Linked DNA regions of Schizosaccharomyces pombe. The gene in region 1 interacts genetically with each later gene. Each region holds a gene or a part of one and is shown on either strand. Other genes may lie near its edges. The genes, in order: gyp1 and ubc15.

Region 1 (13,114 bases):
CAGGTCCATGCAAACCAAAACATGGAAATCGGTAGCATTATGGATCCAAAGAAAAGAGGGTATAGACGGTCTTCTGGAGACATAACCCCATTCCTTCTTGTATAAACTCGATTGTAGTGTACGTAGATGATGGGCGTGCAGGCACCTGCTAAAACAATACCTATTCCAATTCCAATAAACGATAAACCAATTTCTCCCTGATCGAAAGAGTACTTGGCAAATACTATAGGGTAGCCTTCAAAGTCAATATAACCAATGATGTACACGACAGTCAGATAAAGTGTAAAGCAGACTACAATAGGTTCGGTAATCAATAAAGAGACAGAATCAGTACAAGCTTGATATATTGCACTCCTTGGATTCCGCTGTCTTTCGTGAATGGTATGCCATTTCATATTTCTGGTCTTATTACGCAGATACCGAGCTTTATAGTCTAAAATGGTATCCCCATGAGTTTCCGGCATGAAGAAAAAAATAATGACAATTACCACGGCTCCCATGATCATATTTATCCAAAACACCCAACACCAACCCAAGTAGCTCTGACAAATAAAATCACCAATGATGGGTCCAAAAATGGGGCCAAGAAAAGGGAAGGTGCAAAAGCCAGGAAGTACATACGTTCTTTGTATGGGAGTAAATAAATCACTTAGAGTACCACCGCAATTTGATAAAGGCGTACTACCGAAAAATCCTTGAAAAAAACGTAAAATAACCAATGTCCATATATTTTGTGCGCAACCTCCACCAATTTGAAATAGGGTAAACATCAACAACGTACAAAAATAAACAACAAATCTTCCATAGATACCACTGAGAGGAGCAAATGGTAACGATCCAAACCCGAAGCCAACCAAGAAGACACAAGAGCCTAAAGAAGAAACAGAAATCGATACCCCAAAGTCCATTGAAACATTACCGATACCTGAAGAGTATACGCTCGATCCAAAAGTTACCACAAATGCTATTAAGGATATTTGAACTACAACAATCCATTTCTTCCACATTGGCCAATTTTTGGGATTTAAGGGATCATCAATGCTATCCCATCTTACTAAATAAAAATCACTTACATCCTCGGAGCTCTCTTCAAAAGTAACACCGCATTTTTGAATTTCAGGCATTACTGTTCCTAATGAAACCACCATTTTACGGGTAGCGTCAATAGCACCAACAACACCTTCATTCAATGCATTTCCAACATCCTTCACATTTACTCCGTTATTGGATATACAGTCAGACTTTACAACCCCAAACTTTCTGCCGCTTGCTAAAAGATACAGATCCATTTCTTTCTTATCGCTTAATTTGCGCTCCTAAGCCAGACGTAGAGGTAATAGGCAAAGTCTCCCTTATATAGTAAATATAGTTTGAAAAACAGTCACTGCAAATGCTGTTGTGGTAAGCAGTTGCAAAATCAGCATGAAAAAGCTATGAGTATTGAAATTTAAAAGATAAGAAATTGATCCTATAGTTATAAATAAATGATTTCTTCTTCATGAAAAGTAATACAATGATTCTATAACGCAATGGAACGTGCTTCTTTATTTCAGTTCAAAAACTGTATTAAGTTGTATAAATATTCAAAAATTGTCACAGCGTTTTCATTATCTACTCTAATTCATCCATACATTTTGGTCGAATCAAGGAAGAAGACACAGACCATGTAGTACAGTCTTGTCGATTTTCATCATCTCTTACCAATACAAAAGTCGTACTTTGAAATCGTAATGTACAATCTTGGATAAAACCAAAGAAAACATGACTAGCATAGAAGAGAAAAAAAAATGATATTAATAACGATTCATGTAAAGTATCACGCCATGGACTAAACAATCGTTGAATAGTAAAGTAGTAACGTAAGTCAAACTGGAAAAGGGTTAGAGAACGGTCGAACGTAAGAGTAAAGACAAATTACATATAAGTAATAGTGAATATACAATTTAATTCAAGGGTTAATAACTTCCCAAAAATGATTAAGGTAGTTCAGACTTTCTTCAAGAGAAATACTTTATCCTGCATGATAAATTCTAAAAGTCGCAAACTCAATCCAGCTGAGTTAAGGAGCAAACTTGAAAAGTTATTTAGGTGAATGAAAGGAAAATTTATTAGAAGAAGTAAGACTTAGACTCATAAGCTCATAAACATAGAAAAGCAACACAATGAATTAACGAAGGAGATTTGTCAACCTAATTATAAAAATGCATAGGAAGGATGGCATTTGAAAAAGGCTGCTATGCCAAAATAAGCAAGGGATTAAGGAAGAAGACGAATGCTCTGAAAAGGGAAAACGAAATGGCTACTATGCCTTACCTTTTCAAATGTGCACCAGCTCCACTGTACAATGATTTCCATAGGAAAGCTTCAGATAGTAAAATTTCGATATCCTTTGTGCTCCAATCTTTTGTCGGAATAGACTGCAGAAAAATTAATATATCCTGAAATTCCATCTTTTGTAATTCACTCGACCATTTCACTAAAAATGCAGCACATACGTAGAGGTGAAACTCAGAAAATCCTTGGACACCTTCCGCCATGTATGTATCCCACATCCGAATGATATTCGAAATACTAAGCTCGCGCATTAAAAGACAGTTCATCCAGCGAAAACTAAACTGAAGGAAATCAACACCCTCCATTTGAAGATGTTTTACTAATGGCTCATCTATACGTAAAGTAAGCTCTCGCAGATTATTCACCTGTCGACGGATTCCAGGCTGTGCATGTATATAGTTATCTTGGATACCATCTAACAATTTAGAAAGACACCAGTAAGCATCAGCCTCAATATCATTACGATTAGTTTCATCAAGAAGAGCAATGTCATATGTCATTGGGTCCTTATCGCCGATATATTCGGACAAAAACACCTGAATAAAAGGAGTAACTAAATCGCTGATGCCTTGTACATATCCGCTGGCTGGGTGCCGTGAGGCCCAAACATATAAAATACGCTCAAGCATACGCTGCGTCAATGGGTTTTGGTAAAGAAGAATAGAGGGGTTCGTCCTCGGAACGTCAAGGACAATTTGTCGCCAAATAGTTTGATCCAAAGGTGGTGGCTCTGTATTTGTATTAAAGCAGGAATCTTTTGCTGCGTTATATTCGTCTCTCTTTCGCTTTAAAGTGACTTCACGACGAGAAGCATTACAAGGTAAATATCCTAACAAGTATTTCCAGACAATAGGTCTATGTTCGGAGGGAATTCCATTCCAAGCCAATGTACGAAGCGCATTTAAATCCACAATTGGAGCATCAAGAATTCGCGAAAACTTCTTGATCCGAGAGACAAGCGCATTGCTTTCAGCAACCTCAACTTCTACAGAACGATGGGCTAGTTTAGCGGGTAAAGGAAAACGACCAGACGAATGAAGCTTTTGTCTAGAAGTGGTAGTATCCACGCCATTTTGAGGAAATAAGGAGCGGCTTGAAGAATTTGGAGTAGTACTTCGAGCCATACGAGGAAGAGATTTTGAGGCTTTAATATTCGAAACTCCCCAATCGTCATCTGTCTGTGACAAATATTTGGCAAACTTTGCAGACACTTTTTTGCCTACAACAGCTTCCAAGGAAAGAGAAGATCTCGCAGAAGGTGCATAGATTTTAGACTCACTAGCAGATTCGGGTCTAGTTATGGACCGGGCCAAAGAGATATGATCTTTTGGGGGTTGATCTGAGTAAACAGAGTCGTCCAATCTGAACGGTTGAGCTTTGGAAGAAGTGCTTCGACCACGATGGTGATGGGTCCGGCTTCGATCCAAAACAGTAACTGGATCCGAAGTGGCGCTAGAGGATCCATTCCATAAGCTGGAGAGAGTTTTTAAGGCGGACGACTTTTTTGACTGAGATTCCATAGTGGAAAATCTTAAAATACGAGAAGAAAAATTGTTTTTACAAAATGAAGCAGTAATTTGATAGCCTTGATGGACACAACAAATTTAGCAAATAACAGATACTCTTTGAATTTATCGCCAAAATAAAATACTTTTGGTTAAGATGCAAAAAACAGTTTCAAAATTTGCTGTAAAAAGTAGATGAAACGTTTTAGAAGGCAATAACTTCAAATGTTTAACGACGAAGGATCTTAGGCACCACTCATAGACTTACCGGACTTGAAGTCTTATTCTTTTCTTATCAAATGAAAACTATTTTCAAAAAAAAAAAACTTAAGCTATTAGAAGCAAAGCCGTGTCTGTGGGTTCCATCCAAACGAAAACGCACCAGCTCGAGATCTTGTGATCTATTAGAACAGCGCGGAATTTGAACACGAACAAATGTTTCGAGAAAACCTTAGATACAATCCAATACACTAGTATATTTACAAATTTTAACCGAATATCAACGAAATTGTGAAGATTTACTCGGTCTGTGCAGTTGCCAAGGCAGTTGCCCTTATTTGGTGGAAGAACAAAACAATAGGGAGGAAAACAGTAGGTGTATGGAGTTTCTTATATATGAGGTTTTTTTAATAAAAGGAGCAAGGTTTAATACTTTAATTATTTATCTCACTTTTTAGTTAAAGGAAATTCGTTTTAAGCCATGAACAGTTGATAGAAGGATTTTGGCCGTGCATGGTCTTATTGCTTGGGAATGTTGGGTTTATATGCGCAGAGTAGTAAAAGATACACAGCTAGGTCTCATTTAACAATGTTTATATCTATGAGTTCTATCTCTTCTTTACTTAAGTTGCTGCCAGTAAAAGTGAACAATGTAATTTTGACAATTGTGACTAGTCGCTTTTCAAAACAAAAAAGAGAAAAGTATAAACGTTGATTAAGAAACGTAAAAAAGTATTTCCTGTCAATAATGAATCTCTGATTTTATTGTTATTTTTCGTATTGACATCCTAGTTACCTAATATAATACGATGAATTATAAGCATTTTAATACCTACTAAGTTTAAATTTTCCTGAAATACAGTCTAAGATTTTCCTGTTCCTATATATTTCTAACAAAACACATTTTTCAAGTAGATGATCAACGAATCTAGTCTAACTTTCAATCCCAGTCTTTTTTTTAGCAGTTTCGGGTATTTGTTTTCAAACATGTATTTATATCTTTGATTCAGTAAAATTACTTCAACAAATGCATTGAAGAGGAATGATTTAAAAAACATATACGGTTTTCAATGTTTTAATGAACAGAGCAATTTTCCAAATGTTGTCTTGTCAAGAAATTGTAATGTATGTTCTCCAAAACTGACATGAGAACAAAATAAATATGTACTAAGATAAATTTTATATTGAGAACAATCAAAAATTATAGTAAGTTTAATAATCATCCAAAAAACACTTTCCTTCTCTCGTTTACATCTTGGAAAACACTCTAGAGTATCGTTATTCATTGTGATGAAATCGAAACTACAACTCCAATCCAATAATAAAGGTTACTGTATGACAATAAAATAAACCATACATCTTCCCTTTAAGTCGTATTACGACTTGTAAGAAGATTTCCTGGTTGCCAAAATATCATTCATAGTACACAATAATATTATGTGCAAAGGTATTGAAATGAATAAGTACGAATCAAGGTAAATGATTATTATTCCCAAATGAGCTCAAACAAAAAGCAAAAAGAATAAAAGGAAGCCTACAGCACCCCGGATTCCCATGTTGTCTCCAACCATAGTACTAACGAGGCCCTCAGACGCTTAACTGCAGTGATCGGACGGGAACTGGTGTTTTCGCCTAGGTATGGCCGTAGACGTTTAAAGTAGAATATTTAAACATTTTAAAGAAAAAATTAATAATCAGTCAGAGTACTGTCGATTCACTAGAAATTTTCTATTTATTGTTTATATATTCATACAGTAAGATCGTGAAGTATTCAAATCCTTGGTATATAGAATATTATCTTCATGCATTCAAAGATCGTTTAGGAGCTATTTGTACAAGCTACTTGGTGCATATTTGTCTGTTTATATTGCAAAGTCAAGAATTTTAACATAGAGAAAGAATAAAATGAAATGGAATAAAGAAATGTTAAATAATGTTATGAATCAGACTTGTTCTTGAATTGCTAGTCATAACAACTTCTATAAGACTCAACACGTTTACGCGCTTTTTATGAATGTAATACGTTAGACAAATTAAATAGACAAGTACAGTCTATGTGTCATTGACTCAACACTTAAGCATTTATATGATCTACAAAGATGAAGTCTATAACATGATCTATCACGTATTATGAATGCTTAGCCATGGCTGCTTTAAGAAGATCATCTTTTAATCCATAAAACAACATTGTTTTGGCACGAAGCGAATGATCCGTTTTGCTTCGCTTTGCTGGAATAAAAATGAAGCTGTCAGAACGAATCCTATACATCGTTAAAATAGAGTTATTAACAAAGGAAAACAAATAAGTTCAATTTGTTGCTCTTGTTATGCCATCAAACGCTCGCCTATATACGCTTCATCTTACTCCCATTACTTGCCAATGCTAATAGATTCATACATCTGCAAAGGCTCACCTCTACTTATTAAGAACAAAACAGAGTGGTTTTAACTCATTATCTATTAGGAGAAAAAGCCAGAATATATTTTTATTAATATTTCTAATCTAAAAAAGTGAATTATCGAGTCGTTTTTTCTTTTTCACTATTCAGTCTGTTGGGTCACTTTGGTAGACCTAGCGTAATATCTAATTGTCGTACCTATTACTTGAAGTCTTGAACTTCATAATTTTTAAAAGTTACGCGAAAAATGTCTTCTGATACGAAAACACTGGAAAATAGCAAAGGCAATAGTGCTACAGATGCTGATACCAAAAACCCTTCTTCTTCGGATTCGCGAGCAATTGAGCAACTAGTCACTCAAGGTAATATGGCTTATGCTCAAAAAAATTATGAGGAAGCCGTTGATAAGTATGGTCAAGCGCTCATGCAGTCAGAGTCCATTCATGGTTCTGAAAGTTTGGAGAATAGAAATGTTCTTTGGCTGTATGGAAAATCTCTGTTTCAAATAGCTATTGAAAATAGTCAAGTCCTGGGAAATGCGTTGGGTGCCAAGGAGTCTGTGTCTCAAGCAACCGAAAGTTTTGAAGAACCAGAAGCTATTGGCTCGTTCACATTTTCTGGTCAAAAAATTGAAAATAAATATACCGTCAATGAAGAAAATTCATCAATAGCACATCCAGAGAAGGAAAGTGAAGAAAAAGAAACAAACGAAGCATCTCCAGCTTCTGAAGAAGATGAAGACGATTTTAACGTTGCTTGGGAGGTGCTAGATCTAACAAGAGTCATGCAGTCAAAAGCAGTAGATGCTTATCCTGACAGTAAGGATGAAAAGATAAGACTGGCGGATATTTACGATTTATTGGGAGAACTTTCTCTCGAAATTGAAAACTTTTCTCAGGCTTCTCAGGATTTAAAAACGGCCCTTGAGTGGAAAGAAAAGGTTTACAACGTTTCAAATAATACACTTTTAAGTGAAGCCCACTATAAGCTTGCACTAGCACTTGAGTTTACCAATCCAGAAGATCCCTCTAACAAGTCCCGCGCTTGTGAACATGTGGAAAAGGCTGCAGAAATCTTAAAAAATGTCTTAAATGAGCGGGAAAATGAAGTTACGGATAAGAAAGGGAAAGGAAAGCAAAAGGCTGAGGAAAGCACGTTAACTAGCGATCTTGAGAATTTGCGCGAAATGCTATCGGAACTTGAACAAAAGACGCTTGATTTAAAGCATGGCGCGCCAAGTTTGGAAGAAGCTGTTATGTCAAAGATGCATGAGTCATCCTTATTATCTAAGGATAGCAGCAGTCTCGCTCAAGCTGTTGCTGAAGCTGTGAAAAATGCCAATGATTTAGGTGGATTAGTAAAACGGAAACGTACGAAGCAAGAAGTTACTAGCTCCTCTCAAAAAGAAGGTCCTAAAGATAAGAAAAAGAAGGATTAATTGATCACAATTAGTTGAAGTTAGCAAGAGCTCTCAATCGTTTAGCATTTCTGTTCTTCATTTACATACACAATGGCTTCCTAGGAGTATATGTCAAAAGAGCTTTTTAATTGCTAAAATTTAATTGCTTTATTACAAAGGAATTGTTTAGTATAATCGCAATGAAATATGTATATGTGCTATTCTTTCTATCTTGCAAATTTGAATCTTATGAAGGGTCATTTCCTAAAATATATATGAAAGATCCATTCCGCATCTTTTTCATTAAGCATACGGGTTCGAGACATGATATTGCAATTTACGATCCTACAGTTTAAAAAATTAAGGAAAAGAAATATATGTTTTTACTCATGTACGTGTCAAACACGTAAAATCGAAATATTGCATTAAGCAGGTATTTATAAGGCAACGTTTCTATATAGGTTGAAAAATAAGATAATCAAAGCAGTTGATAGTACTAAATTAAAATGGCGTTATAATTATATAAAGTTCTTAAAGAGCATGTTTAAACAGCTACTTTGATTGCTTGTAGTTATAGTCTTCAACGTATTTAATATGGAAACTTAAGTAAAAAAACATAAATTTAAAATGCCAACTCCTTTACTCCTAAAAAAAATTATTTTTGTTCTATTTGATAAAAGATGGATATCAAATAGCGCTATCTAAGCCGTCTGCTAAACACTATACCATACAAGGTACATACTCTGTAAATGTCTTAAGGATACTTTAAACGGGCAATTTAATTGTGAAGTACAATATTGATATAGACAGGAATATAATAATAAACAATGTGTAGTATTTTTTTTAATGGTTTAATCATGCCAGTGTTTGGGCATCTCACAATCAGCTTAAGGGGCGTAAATTCCTTTAAAATTTAATTTTTAAGGATTCAGATTGGAAAAACGACCTTTCTTAGATAACTATTTATCTATATCCGTAGAAACGGCTCTAGATAAAGAATCCAAATAGTGATTTATAACGTATTGTAGCGCTGTTCACCTATAGGAATTGTAATCACATTTACCGTATATATATTTTGTGCACTCTAACTTGTTCTACTATCTAAGCAATTTATTCACATACCTACTTACGGAGTCTGCAAGAACATACAACAAAACAAGTTTTCATTATTGGTTTTTTTTAAATCAATCCCCAAATCCAAGCATCATACGCCAAAGTTTAAGTAAGAAATATCTTAGAATATGGCGTTTAGGAATCGAATGTACCAATTGTCAAATGTGGATGATGCTGACGCCGATATTTTAAATTCTCACTTTGCACCAAACCCACGAGGGCAAAATCATACACATGGACGCCGACGCAACACGTTAGCTTTATGTACCACGAAGGATCAAATGTTTGTTTATGGCTCTACGCCGGCAGGGGGCGCGGAATGGTGCTCCTGAGGCGCTTGAGCGCTCAAGACCTCGTGCTGCCTTTAAGCAGCAGAGGCGTCGCCATGTTCCACGTTGGATTAGTGACAGTTTTCGAACGTGTTTGCCTAAGCCCTCCGGCATACTGAAGGAACAGACGGTAAATGAAGAGGAAGGCAATTCAAGACATAGAGGAAAATATGATTGTGATGAAAGGATCGGTGTTGCAGAATCCATGAACTATTGGCATGGGATAGTTCGGACTGAAGAGGATGGATCGAAGACTCTATTTTTAATACCTGAAAGTTGGGAAGACGTTCATTTGAAAGAAGGATTAGTTGCCATCATAGACTTAGCCGTGGATCGGCTTCACTGCTCGAAGCTGGTATTATTCGTTGATAAAAATAACAGTTCTCTCCCTTATTTAGTAAAAAGCTTACATTGGGTGGGTTTTGAGCCTCTCCCACATCTCAATTGTAGCGATCATGCTCTTTTCGGCATGGAGCTGTGAACGAGACTATATCTGTTTATCCTTAAGCTTTGATTCATCCTTTATTTGCATCTCAAAGTAAGAACACTGGCAAATTTTCTCGGTTGTTTTGATAAATTTGTTATTGAGCTGAATTGATAAAAATATATGCCCCTCATCACATGTCATGGTTAAACTGTGAACATATTATTTCTTCCTCCCCCATTATTATTTTTCATGGAACTTCATTAAATATTTTCTTCGGTTACACTTTGTCTTAGGTGTGCTTGGAAAGAGTCAGCGAGAATTTATTCAATCCAGGTTCATTTATTACTTCCTTGTGAATACCAAATTTATTCAATTCACGAGGCTTTTCATGATTTAGTTGTAGATTTTATTTAGATTGGGTTTACGATCATATTTTTGCTTTTATTACCCCTTTTTTTAAGTTATGCCTGTTTTTTGGTTATATAGTTTGAATGCTTTTCTCTCTTTAATATGTTAATAATACGAAGGAAACATCAAAAAAATATATTATTTTAAAACAAAAATTAAAAATAAATAGATAGATTAAATGTGCACTTTAAATAGTTGGAAATACGAAATTTCAGCAAAGGGAGGCGTAGATCATAAATAATCGTTAACGACTATTTATTACTATTTTTGCTTTTAATATAAGCAATCCTTGCGTCTCTTATGATTCCGGCTTTCTTGTCCATACAAGTACTGAATATTTTAAGGCTGAAAGTAGCGAATACAGGACGATGATCGGAACATCTAATGTCACAAGATTTATAGCAATTCCTAGTAAACTAAAGTTTCGGTTAGAGGTACACTACATTGAAATATATCTACAACTTACACTTTTTGTGGCCAAGATTCGATCTGTCCATGAAGGCACTCTCTGTTTATCTCTATAGCCATGTTAACAGTGTGGATTTGGTTTATGGTAAACGTACGAAGTGTCATAATCATTGGTTCCATTATCAAATTTGTAAGTAGGAAGAAATGTTAACTGTGGTTCAACTAAACCATGAAACACGGTGCCTTTCTTCATTTCTGTGCATAACTGATCATATGAAGCCAACTTGTCTAAGTCGTCCAGTTCAACAAGTTTTCGAACTTCTTCGTTATCAGAATCTATACGATAATTAAAATCACCCATCCATAAAATGTTCCTATGTTTGTCAGTAATGATTTTTTAAATACTTATCGTCACATACGTATGATCATAAATTTTCATTCCAGATGGAAAAACAAGGTTATCAGATATACTTGTATACTCCATGTTGCGCTCCGAAATATTATTAACCTTAGGAGCGAAATGTGAAGAAACAAAACAAAAATCCGAGTCGCAAACATTCATTTCAATTGCAACGGCACCCTTATTGGCAGAAAACCCGCCAAAGCCTGTCTTTCGAGTTGTTTTGGTAACTTTTGAAACAACAAGATGATCATCCTTCCGTATAAATACACCAAGGAAAACACCTGCCATTTGAATAGAGCTAATTAACATATACTTATTATTAGAATCTCGAGAATTGAGAATCATAAGTATTTTCTCTTCCCAAATCCTAAGTTTCTGATTGCTTGAACTAACAAGATGACTCATGTTCAAGGTAATTATCTCTTGAACCGCTACAACGTAAAGATCATAAGCGGAAGTTCTTTCGCCAAATGGAAGTAACAGCCTTTTAAATTCATCAGTGCTGGGTACTTTACCATTTGCATTAAATGTCGACGAAAATATGCTAAAATCCCTTTCGACTCTATATTCAGAACGACGTTGTCTTAGCACACCTTGGATGTAAGAAGACACGGATTCAGATATGAGTACGGGACTTTGATTCGGAAAACATCCCAACAGCAATAAAATGGCATTTTGAGATTCTACGTCTGGATATCTTCCAACATACATGCGGCCAAAAGATTTGGATATATCACTTAAAGATCCCGCAATAGATTTACGACCTCTACGGGTAGCGCTTGAACCAATGGAGCCAACCCCTGTAATTAGTTTCGCAATAGCATCACCGTTATTAGACCAGAGATGTCTTAGGTATTCAAGAATATTGAAAGTTACTCCTATTTGAAGGTTAAAAAATATATCCTTTAATACTAATCGAGATATTTGATACTGAATAACGTTTGTGCGTCCCAGACAATCCAAATCATTAATCCGAAACACTCCTTTTTGGAAAGATTCCAACATGTCATTTTCAATAGACTTTTGAGTATAGCCCATCTCTTTTAAATCGTCGGCCAAATCGGTCTCTAATCGTGGATCAATGTCAGGACGAGCAGGATCAGGTGTAAAGTGGAATTTCTTGACAACGGCAGGAAAAGGTAGAAGCATAAGGTGATGCTTGTAAGCTTCATATAGCGAAGCTTCAAAGCCTTTTGTTTGTAAAAGATCGATTACATATATATCACCATAAGCTTTGTATAGCTTACTAAAGTGAAAATTAAATAGACTTTGACTTGCCTGCGAAGATCTCAAAAAAGAAATAGAGGGTCCATACCAAGAAGAGAATTGTTCCTCCCAGAAACATGGGACTGTCCCTCGAACTTGTACGAAGCTAAAGACCGTTTGTGCGATCTCGACAATAAATTCTGTCTCCACAAACATAGAACAATAAGACGAATCATCAATACCAGAGGGAGGGTATGTTTGCCGAGAGCCATAACTAGATACCTTGGAGATTATACTCATAGACATACTATCAATGAACATTCTCTCAACATAACCCCGAAAGCAATGGAGCAACAGGTTCGGGAATTTCTCCAAAATATGGGCTTCAGAGAAGTGGTTATCCAATTCCGTTATGAGAAATCTATTCCAACAATAAATATCTTTGGGACCATAAGGCTGCTCGGATTGAAACCTTGAAAAGCAAGAAATATTTGTAGAGACATAAAATGAACCATCGGTGAGCAAATCGGTCAATTGAGAAAGGGAATGATATGGATATATCCTAGTAGTTGAAGAGTATTTACTAGAATATTCGCTATTAACCAAATTATCTTTTTCAATATTATTCAAGTCAGAAGTGCTTGTCGAAAAAGTAGAGCTTGGTGAACTATTACGAGGCATGGGTTCGAACAACTCTTCATCCCATAATTCCTGATCTAAAGAGATGAAGGAGACATTTTCAAGTTTCGAAATTGGGTCTCTATTACCAATTCGAAGCACTAGTTTTGCTTTCCGGGCAACGCATAGGAAAACGCCTTCTTTCATATCCTCACATACATAATTAAACAACCCAAGGGTTCCCAATATCTTCTCTCCTCCAAAAAGTAATTCATATTCCTTTATCTTTTCGAATTCTTCAAGTGAGATACAAGTGAATGTTATTATGCAATCAGAATCCTTAACA
Region 2 (11,897 bases), 2.7 Mb from region 1:
GTAAGCTACCTTTCCAACGCTTGGTCCGTGAAATCGCCCAAGATTTCAAGACTGACTTGCGTTTCCAGTCTTCTGCCATTGGTGCTCTCCAAGAAGCTGTTGAGGCCTATCTTGTCTCTCTATTTGAAGACACTAACTTGTGTGCTATTCACGGAAAGCGTGTAACTATTCAACCCAAGGATATGCAATTGGCTCGTCGTCTTCGCGGTGAACGCTCATAAGCAACTTTACCAAATTGTGGTTGCCATCTGATGGTGTGATTTGGAATCTTTTGGTCGTCTATCCCATTGTAATCCTTCCCTCATTTACTTTGCCTTTCGAAACAAAATTTAACCTTGAGTGTTGTGGAATGTAACAAACGATATGCAAGTCTAATTTTTTGTTTCCGTGAGCTGCACTATCTATTTATATTTTTGTTTTCTTTTTTCGAGTTATACCGCGGACGTTTTTATTTTCGAAATGTATAGAAATTTTTAATTCTCTCTTTACGTCCTGCGCAATTGTGTAAATGAAACGCTGAGGAACTTCATCTGTATTCTTATATGCTATTTAATAGTAAATTAATTTTTAATATCATTATTGAAACACGATAAACTAAGGGTTGACCGTATTTGATTTTTTGTAGTATTTTTAAAAACTCGTATCGATAATTAATTAATTACTCGAAGCTGAACGCAGATTCATTAAATTCGGGGACATCGTCCGGTGTTGGCCGGATATCTTGTCCCATAAGAGTTTTTCCAAGTTTGGGGGAGTCGTGAGTTTTTTCCACTGCAGACTGCTTGTCAGTTACCATATAATCCTCAGTTTCAAGATGAGCAGTTGCAGGATTTTTTTGGAATTTCCAATTACGCAAAAGCCCAAGTGCTATTAGGTCACATCCTAATTGGCAATACACATTAGCATTATGCAAAACAAATCGATATTCAAGACTTTCATCAATTTGCACGTTGCTGGATCTTAAACATTCATATAACAAAATGAAGGCAGGATCATCAGACGGAAACTTATTTCGTACGGGTTCGTTAGTACTATTTCGTTGTGAATCTTTATTTTCGTGAATTTCTTGGTCGTTTTTATCGGATGTATAAAGTTGTATAAAGTCATTATCGCTGACCAGCGAGCGAATGGGAGATACCAAACTTTGCAAGGCCTTTTTTTCCTGTTTTAAAATAGTGAAACTCCAATTGGTGAGCCATCTATCGTTTTGAGATACAGCCAAAGGAAGTACATACTCGTTTATTAGCCTCTTTAAGGTCGGACCATCGTCGCCTTCATAGACTCGAGTCATTGCGATGGCTAATGAAATGCTTTTTAAATTACGGATACATACTTTTGCGGCATCATAGCAACTATCTGCCAAAAGAAAAAATGCAGAAGCATAAAAATATCTGTGCTTGCTTAAAAGTGCAAAAGCATTCTTGGATGCAACCACTTTCCACTTCTTTTTTGAAAAGTCATTCGAAAGCAACTTAACCGTTCGAGCTGATTCCTTATGCCAACTAGCAAGACGCCAAAGATCACGAAATACATTTATTTTGTGTAGAGCAATGTGATATAAACTAACATTCTCTGGGTTCCTATCGTCAATCTCAGCGTAATGATTGCGAGACAGCTCTAAAAATACATCTTTCAGTAGCTGCTCATTTAGCCAAAACGGTATCGCATATTCTTCAACAGCATTCCATAACAATGGTTTTCCATGAAGCTTTTTAGTGTGGTCCAACAGAACAGCTTTGTTAGAGCTATGAAAAGCCCACGCCATCTCTCGGGTGGGCAAGCTTGTTAATTGACGTTGATGTTTTGATAAAACGTACTGGTTTAGCATAATGCAATATCTTTTTCCGTTGAGGTCCAATGAATCTCGCAATGCTCTTGCCTTATTGAATGCCTCGATTAAATTAAGAAGTAAAAACTGAGATGATCGAGTGAGGGTTTTGACTTTCTTTACTTTTAATAATGCAGTCAACTTCTTTATCATTTCATCAATGTATAATCCTAAATGCTTTGAGACACTGGTCTCTTCAAAATCCAATTCCGCAGGATTTAGAATTTCCGCAGAATTTTGGCTGAGACTTTTTATTAAAAGGTCTTTAGAAATTTCTTCGTCACAGCAGTAAAACTCACTGCAGTCCATATTTAAGAGAAAATGCATATCTACATCATCTTTCAAACACAAGTAAAACCTTAGCAAAATATTAGTAAATAGAAAGGGTTGGTTTCTAAGTAAAAGCTGCTGCAACAATTGAGGATGAAAAACTGGTAAAATTCCATTAAGCTGGTATGCAAGATCAAAAATATTTTTTGCGGAACGTTTCAATGATGCAGGGAACAGTAAAGACTGATCTTCGGGAAGTGAATTATCAAAATAAAAAAGTCCGTTACCAATGGCAGTAACTAAAGTCCCATTATCCAACCAAGAAGAGTCAGATATTAATGAATTTGTATATTCTAAAAGATTGTATCTACGAATACGAGACCAACATGGAATATCGTTCATATAAGATCGGCGATTTTGGCACAAAAGAATAACATCATGTAGAAAGCCAACAGCCAAGATAGAATGGGAATTGGGAGTAGAAGTCCAATCCAAGTCATTTATTGGTCCATAATCATCAAAAACAGAGGAAAATTCTTCCTTTTCAGAGAATTCTGAACTACGCGTGTCGAAAATTGAAAGTCGACGATTGTTCTCAGATACAACAGCAACTTTCTTGGATGTTGAGCCTTTGATCATAGTTGCAGATTTGATGCTAGTTTGCACTTTGGAAATTTCCGATATTTCCGCTTTATCGTCTCCCAATACTCTTGCCATCCAAGTCTGTAATAAACCGTCTTTTGATATTGATTGAAATACCTCTTGATCAAATGAAGATAAACTGCTCAAATTTAAAGTAGAAGACCAACCCATGACATCTACAGCCGATGCGATATTTAAATTCTTTGTAAAATTTACCCGATCTATAAACCGAAGTACAGCAGAACCATCATGAGCTTCGTTAGAGACACTCCAAAACCAGGCATGGCCTCCTTCCGTCAAAGCACATAGGGCGGAATTATCGTTGTTTTGAACAGGAAGAATAAAGAAGGTTATTATCGGACTAGTAGGGACTTGACGACATGTACAGAGAAGGGTTGGAGGAATTGCTTCATTGCAATGCCATAATTTTAAAGAATTTAAGTTGAGTACTGCTGCATATTCACCAGCATAAAGAGGTAATATAAAGTCAGATTCTCCAAGTAATAATCTGAACCTGCAAATTAACTGATTTTTCCCGTCTTGCGATATGTATGATTGAAACATACAGATACGATTAACATCTCGGGATACAATTCCATGACCATTAGAGGTTCTTGTTAAGCTTTTTATGGGATAATCATGTCCATAAAAATCGTAACTAACTCTTAACTCAAAGTCACTATAAAAGAAATCGGTAAGACTAAACATGTATTCACGGGCGGAATTTTGAAAAAATAAAATGATGTTATAATCGTAAAATTCGTGTTTTGAGGTCCTGTAAATAGGTATAAATCCGTCAGGTTGAAGAGCGCCTTTGGGAAAGTTCGTTGGAACTTGATTAATAAGCTCAAAAGATGACAAAGTTTCCTGGTCAATTACTAGAGAAAATATGTACAAACATTCAAAAGTAAATAGCAAAAATATATGTGGTTGTCCACTGGCCAAAGCCAGAAGCCTATTTAAAATGCGATCCTTATGCACTTGACCAGAATGGCGACTTATAGCATGTGCTAATGCTATAGTAAAATCGTCCTTATCAATAAAACAGCAGTATGGTGGTTGATCAGATTTGTAGTATTTTCTCAAGTTAAGAAAACAAGAAAGATGCATTAATTGAGAACCAAATCGGCTACCAACTTGCCAAATTCTTAGAACGTTATCATAGCCTACCGTACTCAGGAAGGGAGTCGATCCACTGGCGTCCGGATGAAGGTGTTTAGACCATTGGGAAAACCTTACGCGACAAGGATGAACAAGATAGCTGAAATCATCACATGAGCTAACTGTACCTTGAGGAGATGTTCGCTGCCAAACTTTAGCAAGTGGATTTTTTGTTTCGATAGAAGCTATAAAACAAGCATCGGAAGAAATAGTGCTACTAAGGAATGAATCCGAGATTCTGTTCTGCGACCAAACCAACCTGGGTTTGTCTTCAGAGAAATTTATAAGTTTAGTGTATGACGAAGCACAAAGCAACAGATCAAAATTGTATCCCCAAGATAGTTGAGTAATATCTTCAGAAAGCTGAGTTATATAATTGTAATGATGAGTCCATTTCAAAGAATCGGCGGGCTTATAAATATCCAAAACTTGTCCATGTGCTATTGCTAGAAACCCCGTACGTTGGTCCAAAGCCACTGCACCAATAGACTCTCCAAATTGTATATTTTGATAAGATTCGTAGTTATTTACAATAATTAATACGGTATAGCGAGTTCCAAATGTCTACCATTTAGTTAAACAATTACTTCAATTGGAAACAATACTTTGACATGCTGCTTTCGTTCTGCAGTTTAACCACTAGCAGACAAACGCATATCGTTTGCGTCCATTCACTTACTAATATTCGATTTTGGTTCCATTGTACATTGTCGTAGGCAGCTGTACGTTTTAGAGGTGTACCGGGATTTGTGAATGCCAGAGGCATGTTTACTGCAGAACGCTGTGCATGAGCTAAAATTGGATTTTTTTCGACTTGCAAATAGTTAAGGGAGAAATGACAATGATAAAAGCTATTAATATCTGATTTGACCTAATAGCTGTCTACGTTCCATATACGCATTTGAACCAGTGTGAACACCACCATACTGCGGAATAGCGTAATATTAATTGTCATTCTGAAAAGTTTAAGCATAATGCAATAAAAAAACGCTAAATGAAAAGGCAATGCTTTCACGGTTCTTAATGCAATTTTAATATTCATCTTAAATGGTTACTCTGAGTATTTAATTTTCAAACTCAACGAAGTTTCGCTAGATTCTTTAATTGGTTTGATTAATCATTGAATCAGTCATTCGGATACGTAGGAGACATTGAGCTAGTTAGTGTAAAATATAATAGACTGAGATTTATCGCTGCATTCAATGTATGTTGTGCAAAACGCGGAATTGAAACCGTCGCTGATAAAGTATGAGCGTATAAGCGAAAATAATTACTTGAATAGAAAATTTTCAATGGAAAACTATCAATTCACGAAGTATTAGCTGACGTTTGTTCAAAGAAAAAAATTCAATCGTGAAATGTAGATTTTTATTTGTTGTTTATCTAAATTATGGCTGTAATTGGTAAAGAAGTAGGATAAATCACTTGCGGTTGTAACACTTGAAAAACTTGAAAGCTTTATAATAAAAACAGAAAAGAATCAAAAGCTGTTAGTTTTAAAATGTCAACCGTTCTGCCAATATTTCATTATATGTGATAATAAATGAACAGTTTGCTAAACTTATTCAAAAAATGGGCAACGGCAATACTTCAAAGATGGCATAAAATATGCAATTCAACTTGTAAAGCTACAGACTTTTTGAGTAAGCTTTACTGCTAGTTGACTTAGGAGGTTTTCTATGCAGCGACTTGAATTTCCTTCATAGCCTTTTTTCTAAATATAGGAAATTAGGGACCTAGGTTGAACATTATCTTCAAATCATTTCAATTGACCTGCGAACAAGTCGACGAACTCTTTTCTTAAATTCTTGTGCTGGAAAAAGTTAGTACGATTTGATTATTAAAGAGTAAATTTTTTTGTTTGTAGGTTAGTATATACTCACGATTTTCTCGAAATTCCTTGGCAGCATCTATATTGGCAGGGGACTCATCATTAGGGGAAGAAAGCATGGAAATTACACTAATCAATATGGTTTCCGGAGAGTGTACCGGAAGCCAACGTTCTCCAGCATCCTCGTATCCATACTTGTCATCTCCTGGTGGGTGAAGAATCGATATGCAAACTTCGCCATTCGGATGAACATTAGGGTGCCAAATTTCCGTTGTGAACTGTTACCGTTAGAATCGTTTTTAGGCATAGACTATGTAGTTTCTATCAATTAAAAAATCAATGTATTTACTATACCTTCATCTTTGGAGGCATCAGAGGATAATCCTAATTTTTCGAGGTTAGTGACCAGCTTGTTTACCTTATACAACAAATATTATTTTTCTGTGAAACATAAATACATACTTGAGGAAACGATAATGTTGCATGGAAAAAACCACCTTCATATAATGTATCTTCTGGTCCAATGATCATAACTTCCCATTCAAAAATGGATTTATCATCGACTAAACCAACGCTAAAACCCTGTGGAGGATTTTTTTGAATTTCCTATATCTATCAGTATGTGTTCAAGAATTAAGATACTATGTACAATCATGAATATTTGGATATGAAGATTTCGTGCGCTTACCTTTAGTTGTTTTCGAAGAAGTTGTTCACTAGCAGAAGAAGGCATACTTCCGATATTTTAATAATTACGTTCTAAATATTTGGTAAACTGAGAAAAAGTAATATAAAGACAATTTTTAAAGTAGGGTTGAGCTGAAGGCGAAATACTGGTAGTTGAAAAAGGTTTGGGCGAGCTTCGTAAATATAGTTAGAGTAATATTCCTTTTTTGTATTATTTATGTAACATATAATAAAGCTTTTAACGTAGAAAACATAAATTTAATTTACTCTAAGTAAACATTTTGGTTAAGATTACAATTTTCAAATTTCTTCTATGATATAGTACCTAAGGTTTTATTACACAAAGTAAAACAAACTGTAGTTATATATTGGATGACCGAAAAAAAACGGCATATTCCTATGAAATTATTTGAATATAAAAGAGAGTGTTCTCCAAGTCATTTTGTTGATTAATAAGGTTTGTAACGGAGAAAGCTCAAATTGAACAATAAATAAAGAGGTATGTACAAATGCCTCGAATAATCAATCAATTTTAATGGACGCATAAATTTTGTTAACAAAGAGAAAGGCGCCAAAGAAACCAACCGATCCACATAAGAAAAATACCAAAACAGAAATCAGTAAACTATAGCCGAAATAAAGAACGGCAGTAGCAAGGGAAGATGATGAGATTTTAAAAAACCAGTAAAATACTGAAAATATAAATACATAGATTCCACAAAATCCAGGTGTTATGAAAGAGCGCCACCACCAGTTGTAGTTTTCGGAACACAATTGGAAATAAACAGTGATAATGGAAACCATGATACAAGTGGTTACTAAAATACCGAAGCAAAAGAACGAGAAACCGAACATGAAATACAATGGGTGAAACCATAAACTGTCAAGGATAGAAAACAATTCAATAAGGATTACGAGGAATGGTATAGATCCACCGATAATCGCACTAGGAAAACTCGAAAGCCAAATACTATGAGATGGAATTTGACGAGGGATTTGGTTTGTCCTAACAGGTGGGACGAACTCTCGAGAACGAAAGCCGATTAAAGAACCGACAAAGCTTAATGGTACAGTAAACAATAGATACAGGAAAATGAGTAGAAGCCAGCTTGAAAAGGGTACAGTTGATGATGAACTTTTACTCCAAAATACCATGTTAAAGAAAAGAGCTGCCGCAAGCATAAAACCAGGTACGACAAAAGGAGTTAACAGAAGATTTCGCTTTCTAAGCATACCTTGCATCAGTTTGTAGGATAATGCAGATACATAACCAGAAACGAAACCTGATATAATGAATAAGGCCACCGTTGCTGTAGCTAAACTTCCACGACGAGAGGGTGCAACAATGCCAAAAATTGCAAATAAAACGATACCAGAGCTCATAAAAAGAAGTTGTGCACCAGTCCCTAAAAGGATAGAAAATAGCATGGGTCTACGAGGTGGACGAAATACATCACCATGAACTAGCTTCCAACCAAAATCTTCTTGAACATCTTCTTGATCGACAAAGGCGCTATTATATTTATTAATGTCACGATTTAGCGTTCTGTACAAAATAATAGAAACCACAAAAATTAGAAATGTGTCAATAATTGCGGAATGGATAATAAAGATCCATCGAATTTGCCTAGATTCAATGTGCATATATTTGTCCCATCGGGTAGCCCATGGAGTATCGGAATATTTCCAAGAGACTGAGTAAGAGGTCACGAGAGTAAGATCAGCTCCTTCCGGTAAATACTGTGGATTTGAAGACGAAGAACAAACTGGGTTTCCATCAACTAAAGTAGACTCCTTTGAGACAGGTTTTACATAAGCACCCACAACACGGTGTTGGTCACTAGATGTCGTATGATATTCTATAACTATATCATAATGATTGAATAGAATTACTCCCTTCTCCGTATTCTTGCCTAATGGAAAGCCTGGCGATAATGAGTAGTTCTTTGAGTTAGTCCCTTCTAAATATGTTGCTACGGGCAGATTATCTATGTTCCAGTTAACAACGTAGTTTTTGGAGATTAAATCTCTAATAAAACTGACATCTGAACTGGGAATTATCGAGGCACACAAGGGAACACAATCCTGGTTTTCAAGCATTTTTATTTCAATGGGAGAGTTGTAGAGACGGTCGCCAAAAAGCACACTTCCAAGTGACTCAGATTGTTTTGCGATATTCTCTGGTCGACAGAAGTGGAAACGCTCATCGTAGTCTAAAGTGAAGTTAGTAACAAGCAAAAAAGTTCGAGAGAAAATGTTATATCCTTCATTAAATCATATTTCTATAGTGTTTTCCTAATTTAAAATTGTAAAGTTTTTAAAAAAACACATGAACCTTCATGTGAGCTATCAACCACGTACATTCATAATTAAAGATGTCAGAACCCCGTCCATCTCCAATAAATGGTGAAATGGTATTGACAGTTGTATCAATTGAAGCACCGGGAGGATAGTTTTTCGGACTTAAGGGAGTTAATTGAAAACTAAAACAGGTTTGGAGAAGAACGGAAACGAAAACAACAAAGCTAAATGAACACGAGGGAATACTAGGTAAAAGCATATTTTACTATTTCCCTAATTCTTGGCAAAGACTCGAAACAGAATCTTTTCAAACCGAGATGATTAAGACTAAATCAATATAAAGTGCTACGGTTTTGGGGATTGATGCTGGTAGCATTTAATTTGAGGAATGCTGCTGTACTCTTAGTATGTCTCTTTATTGTGCTATTAACAATCCTCGTATACCGGTTTACGACCTGCTAACTTTCGTTATTCGTATATGAGGTTCAGAACGTGAGAGTTGGAGAACATCGATGTAAGCGAAAACATATCTGTTGAGTTTTCTTGTTATAACTTATTTATCGTTACATAATAATTGAAAGTTTAGTACTAAAAGTTGCGAAGGAACAGGTTGGAATGTCCTTAAATGACTTTCTGCAAACTTTGAGTAACGCTGTTGGAGAGAAAAACTCCAATACGTTGGAGAAATGTATTATTTTAGATCCATCAGAGCCCTCGTTTCAACAGCTCAGTAAAACTCTTTTTTTGGTATGTCGCAGGCTTGCACTACAAGTAATTGTCTTCAGGTTATAACATTAACTAACCGTGATAAAGGATAGAAAGGGGAAAAATAAGTTAAACGGAACCATTCAAAAAGAATTTGGAAGAATAAGAGGTTGGAAGGAATTGGTAACTACCTATTTTGAGTACGTTGAAAATGCTGCATCTTCTCCTGATCAACGAAAATGGGAATTGTTACAAAACTTGTATAGGTAATTAAAAACTTTTTGTTTATTATTTCTCACTTTTGTTTTTCTAGTAACTTGACAACTTGCTTCTCCCATATCGATGGAGCATGGTTGTGTACAATTGTAAAACGCGTTTCAAAGCTTTATGTAAAGCTCTCCCTTCAGCTAGATACATCTACACCTACTTTAGAAGATTCTTTTGATGGTAATGGGTTCATACAGAGGAAATACGTGAGCGATGCATCTAGGAACGTCTTACGAACGTTCAATAGTATACTGAGTGATCGTCAACAAAACATTAACCCTTCGAAGAAGGATGCGATATTCTGTATTGCCAATTTACTTTGTTTACTATATTTTCGCTTAAAGCAAATTCGTCTTTGCCAAACTATTCAAGCTAATGTCATCTCTTCGGGTGCCGATATTTCTCGCGCTACAATGGCGGAATTAGTAACGTTTCGTTATTATTTAGGAAGGTGTCATCTTTATCAACGCAAAATTCATCAGGCAAAGGACCATCTACTTTTTTCGTTTCTTCAGTGCCCTGATGAGTGTTATCATCAAAAAAGGTATGTTTTATTTTACTCAAAAATAGGATTCGTTTATATTTACTAATCAAAAAAGGCTTTCTCTAATCTATCTTACAACGTGTTTACTTATATTAGGAAAATCGCCAACAAAAGGGCTATTAGAAAAATACAAATTGACTGCAGCATTCGAACCTTTAATAAAAGCTTTGAAAAGTGGTGATATCAAGTCGTTCAGATTATCTTTGGAGGACAATTCCAGGAGGAAATGGTTTATCAAACGAGGAATATATCTAACTTTATTGGATAGATGTGAAATCATCCTGTGGAGGAATTTATTTAGAAAGGTGTACGTTTGAGATTTTTTAAAATATTCGACTAATTTAAAAAGGTTTCTTTTTACTTTTGAGCAAAGCCAAAAAACCCCGCACGTATCTGGTTCTTACTTGTTAACCGCGGCCCGTTTAAGTACAAATGATAACTCATATGACATGGACGATGTCGAATGTATCTGTGTTTCTCTAATTGACCAAGGATATATTAAAGGTTATATCATTCATGCATCATCAACTTTAGTCCTTAAAAAAGACCCATCGTTCGGTTTTTCTGTAATAGAGAGCCTTATGCCCATAGCAAGGAATGATCACGCAGAAAAGGAATTTTTTCATGCTAACGCATAATTAAATGAACTCAGAAAACGTAGATTGTTCGAAAATTATACTTAAAATTAATTAAATTTGAATTGACAAATGTTAAGCAAGGAACAGTGTTCAATCATCTTGCTTTGCGAAGTCTGAAAGCTAAATAAATACAGTCTAAACGGCAAAGCGTAATTTTATTCATTTTTAAAACAAAAGGGTATTTGGTCAAAGCAAAAAACTCTATAATTAGAAAAGTAAAATACCAGATATCACTTGACAAATAACACAATTTAGAATCAAAAATCTTCTTCCATTTCTGGATCAAAAAGATCAAATCCTGCAAAGACATCCTTATTAGCTGGCGATTCTACTTCTTTATTTTCCTCTTGCGTAGTGAATGTTGGAGAGGCAGGATAATTCATTTTAGTTTTTTCTTCAACGGCTTTGTTCGCATCAATTTCTGTTTCTGTTTCCGTTGGCTCGTTCGTCTTTGGAGGCTGTTCAGAAAATAATTGGGACGCTGTAGCCGATAAATTTGGAACCATGCTAGTTGAAAACTGAAACAACAGAGTTTTTCGCATCTGGTCCTCCGATGGCCAAGGATAATGCACAGGAGCTTTTGCATCTTGACCCGTCTCGGGATTGTACCCAGGAGGTGCAGAGGAAAACTTGGAAAGTTTTCTACCATAATCAAGGAGTGTTTCAGCATTAACTTTTTGTCGTTTTCTCCCCGACACTGTTTTTGGAAGATGGGTATCATAAATTGAGGTCATTTCTCTCATGCAGTCTTGAATTTGTAAATCCAGTTCCTTATCCTGCTTCAGCAAAGAACTAATTTCATTTTGTAATTCTCTACCATTTGTGTAATTTGATATTAAAGAGTGTAAGGTTTTCAAGTGGCCTACTAATGAGGTCCAGTTTTCTATTAGTACATATTGGTCAACCTTTTCGGATGACAGTCTTAACTGTTTATTGAGACATTCTTCAATAGAATCAATGGCTCTTTGATATTCCATTGGGGAGCATATGTGATTACTATATACTAACTACTCAACAATTGCT

The links.
Region 2: of gyp1 (region 1) and ubc15, changing one suppresses a phenotype caused by changing the other (phenotypic suppression), as found in Schizosaccharomyces pombe (2 studies listed by BioGRID, with this or other methods).

The regions. Positions count from the first base shown.
Region 1 is NC_003423.3:775,853-788,966, reverse strand, and holds gyp1 (GTPase-activating protein Gyp1), read right to left. Parts: upstream 4,402-13,114; 5' UTR 3,855-4,401; coding exon 2,310-3,854; 3' UTR 1,822-2,309; downstream 1-1,821. Other genes in the region: SPOM_SPBC530.02 (transporter), read right to left, coding at 1-1,289; CENP-A chaperone, NASP family, Sim3, read left to right, coding at 6,705-7,895; syj2 (inositol-1,4,5-trisphosphate 5-phosphatase 2), read right to left, coding at 10,385-10,549, 10,600-10,651, 10,697-10,915, 10,961-13,114. UniProt on the Schizosaccharomyces pombe protein: Stimulates specifically the GTPase activity of ypt1. Functions on the Golgi as a negative regulator of ypt1.
Region 2 is NC_003423.3:3,517,443-3,529,339, reverse strand, and holds ubc15 (ubiquitin-conjugating enzyme Ubc15), read right to left. Parts: upstream 6,571-11,897; 5' UTR 6,466-6,570; coding exon 6,421-6,465; exon of another isoform or gene 6,339-6,420; coding exon 6,195-6,338; exon of another isoform or gene 6,192-6,194; intron 6,117-6,191; coding exon 6,087-6,116; intron 6,070-6,086; exon of another isoform or gene 6,011-6,069; coding exon 5,785-6,010; exon of another isoform or gene 5,715-5,784; coding exon 5,656-5,714; 3' UTR 5,195-5,655; downstream 1-5,194. Other genes in the region: hht3 (histone H3 h3.3), read left to right, coding at 1-221; RAVE complex subunit Rav1, read right to left, coding at 659-4,465, 4,581-4,667; EMP70 family endosomal transport protein Emp70, read right to left, coding at 6,942-8,632, 8,781-8,979; TREX/TREX2 complex subunit Pci2, read left to right, coding at 9,336-9,467, 9,534-9,691, 9,739-10,236, 10,292-10,543, 10,586-10,874; pmc4 (mediator complex subunit Med4), read right to left, coding at 11,132-11,851. UniProt on the Schizosaccharomyces pombe protein: Catalyzes the covalent attachment of ubiquitin to other proteins. Has a role in the formation of chromatin structures that influence the localization of transcriptional silencing factors.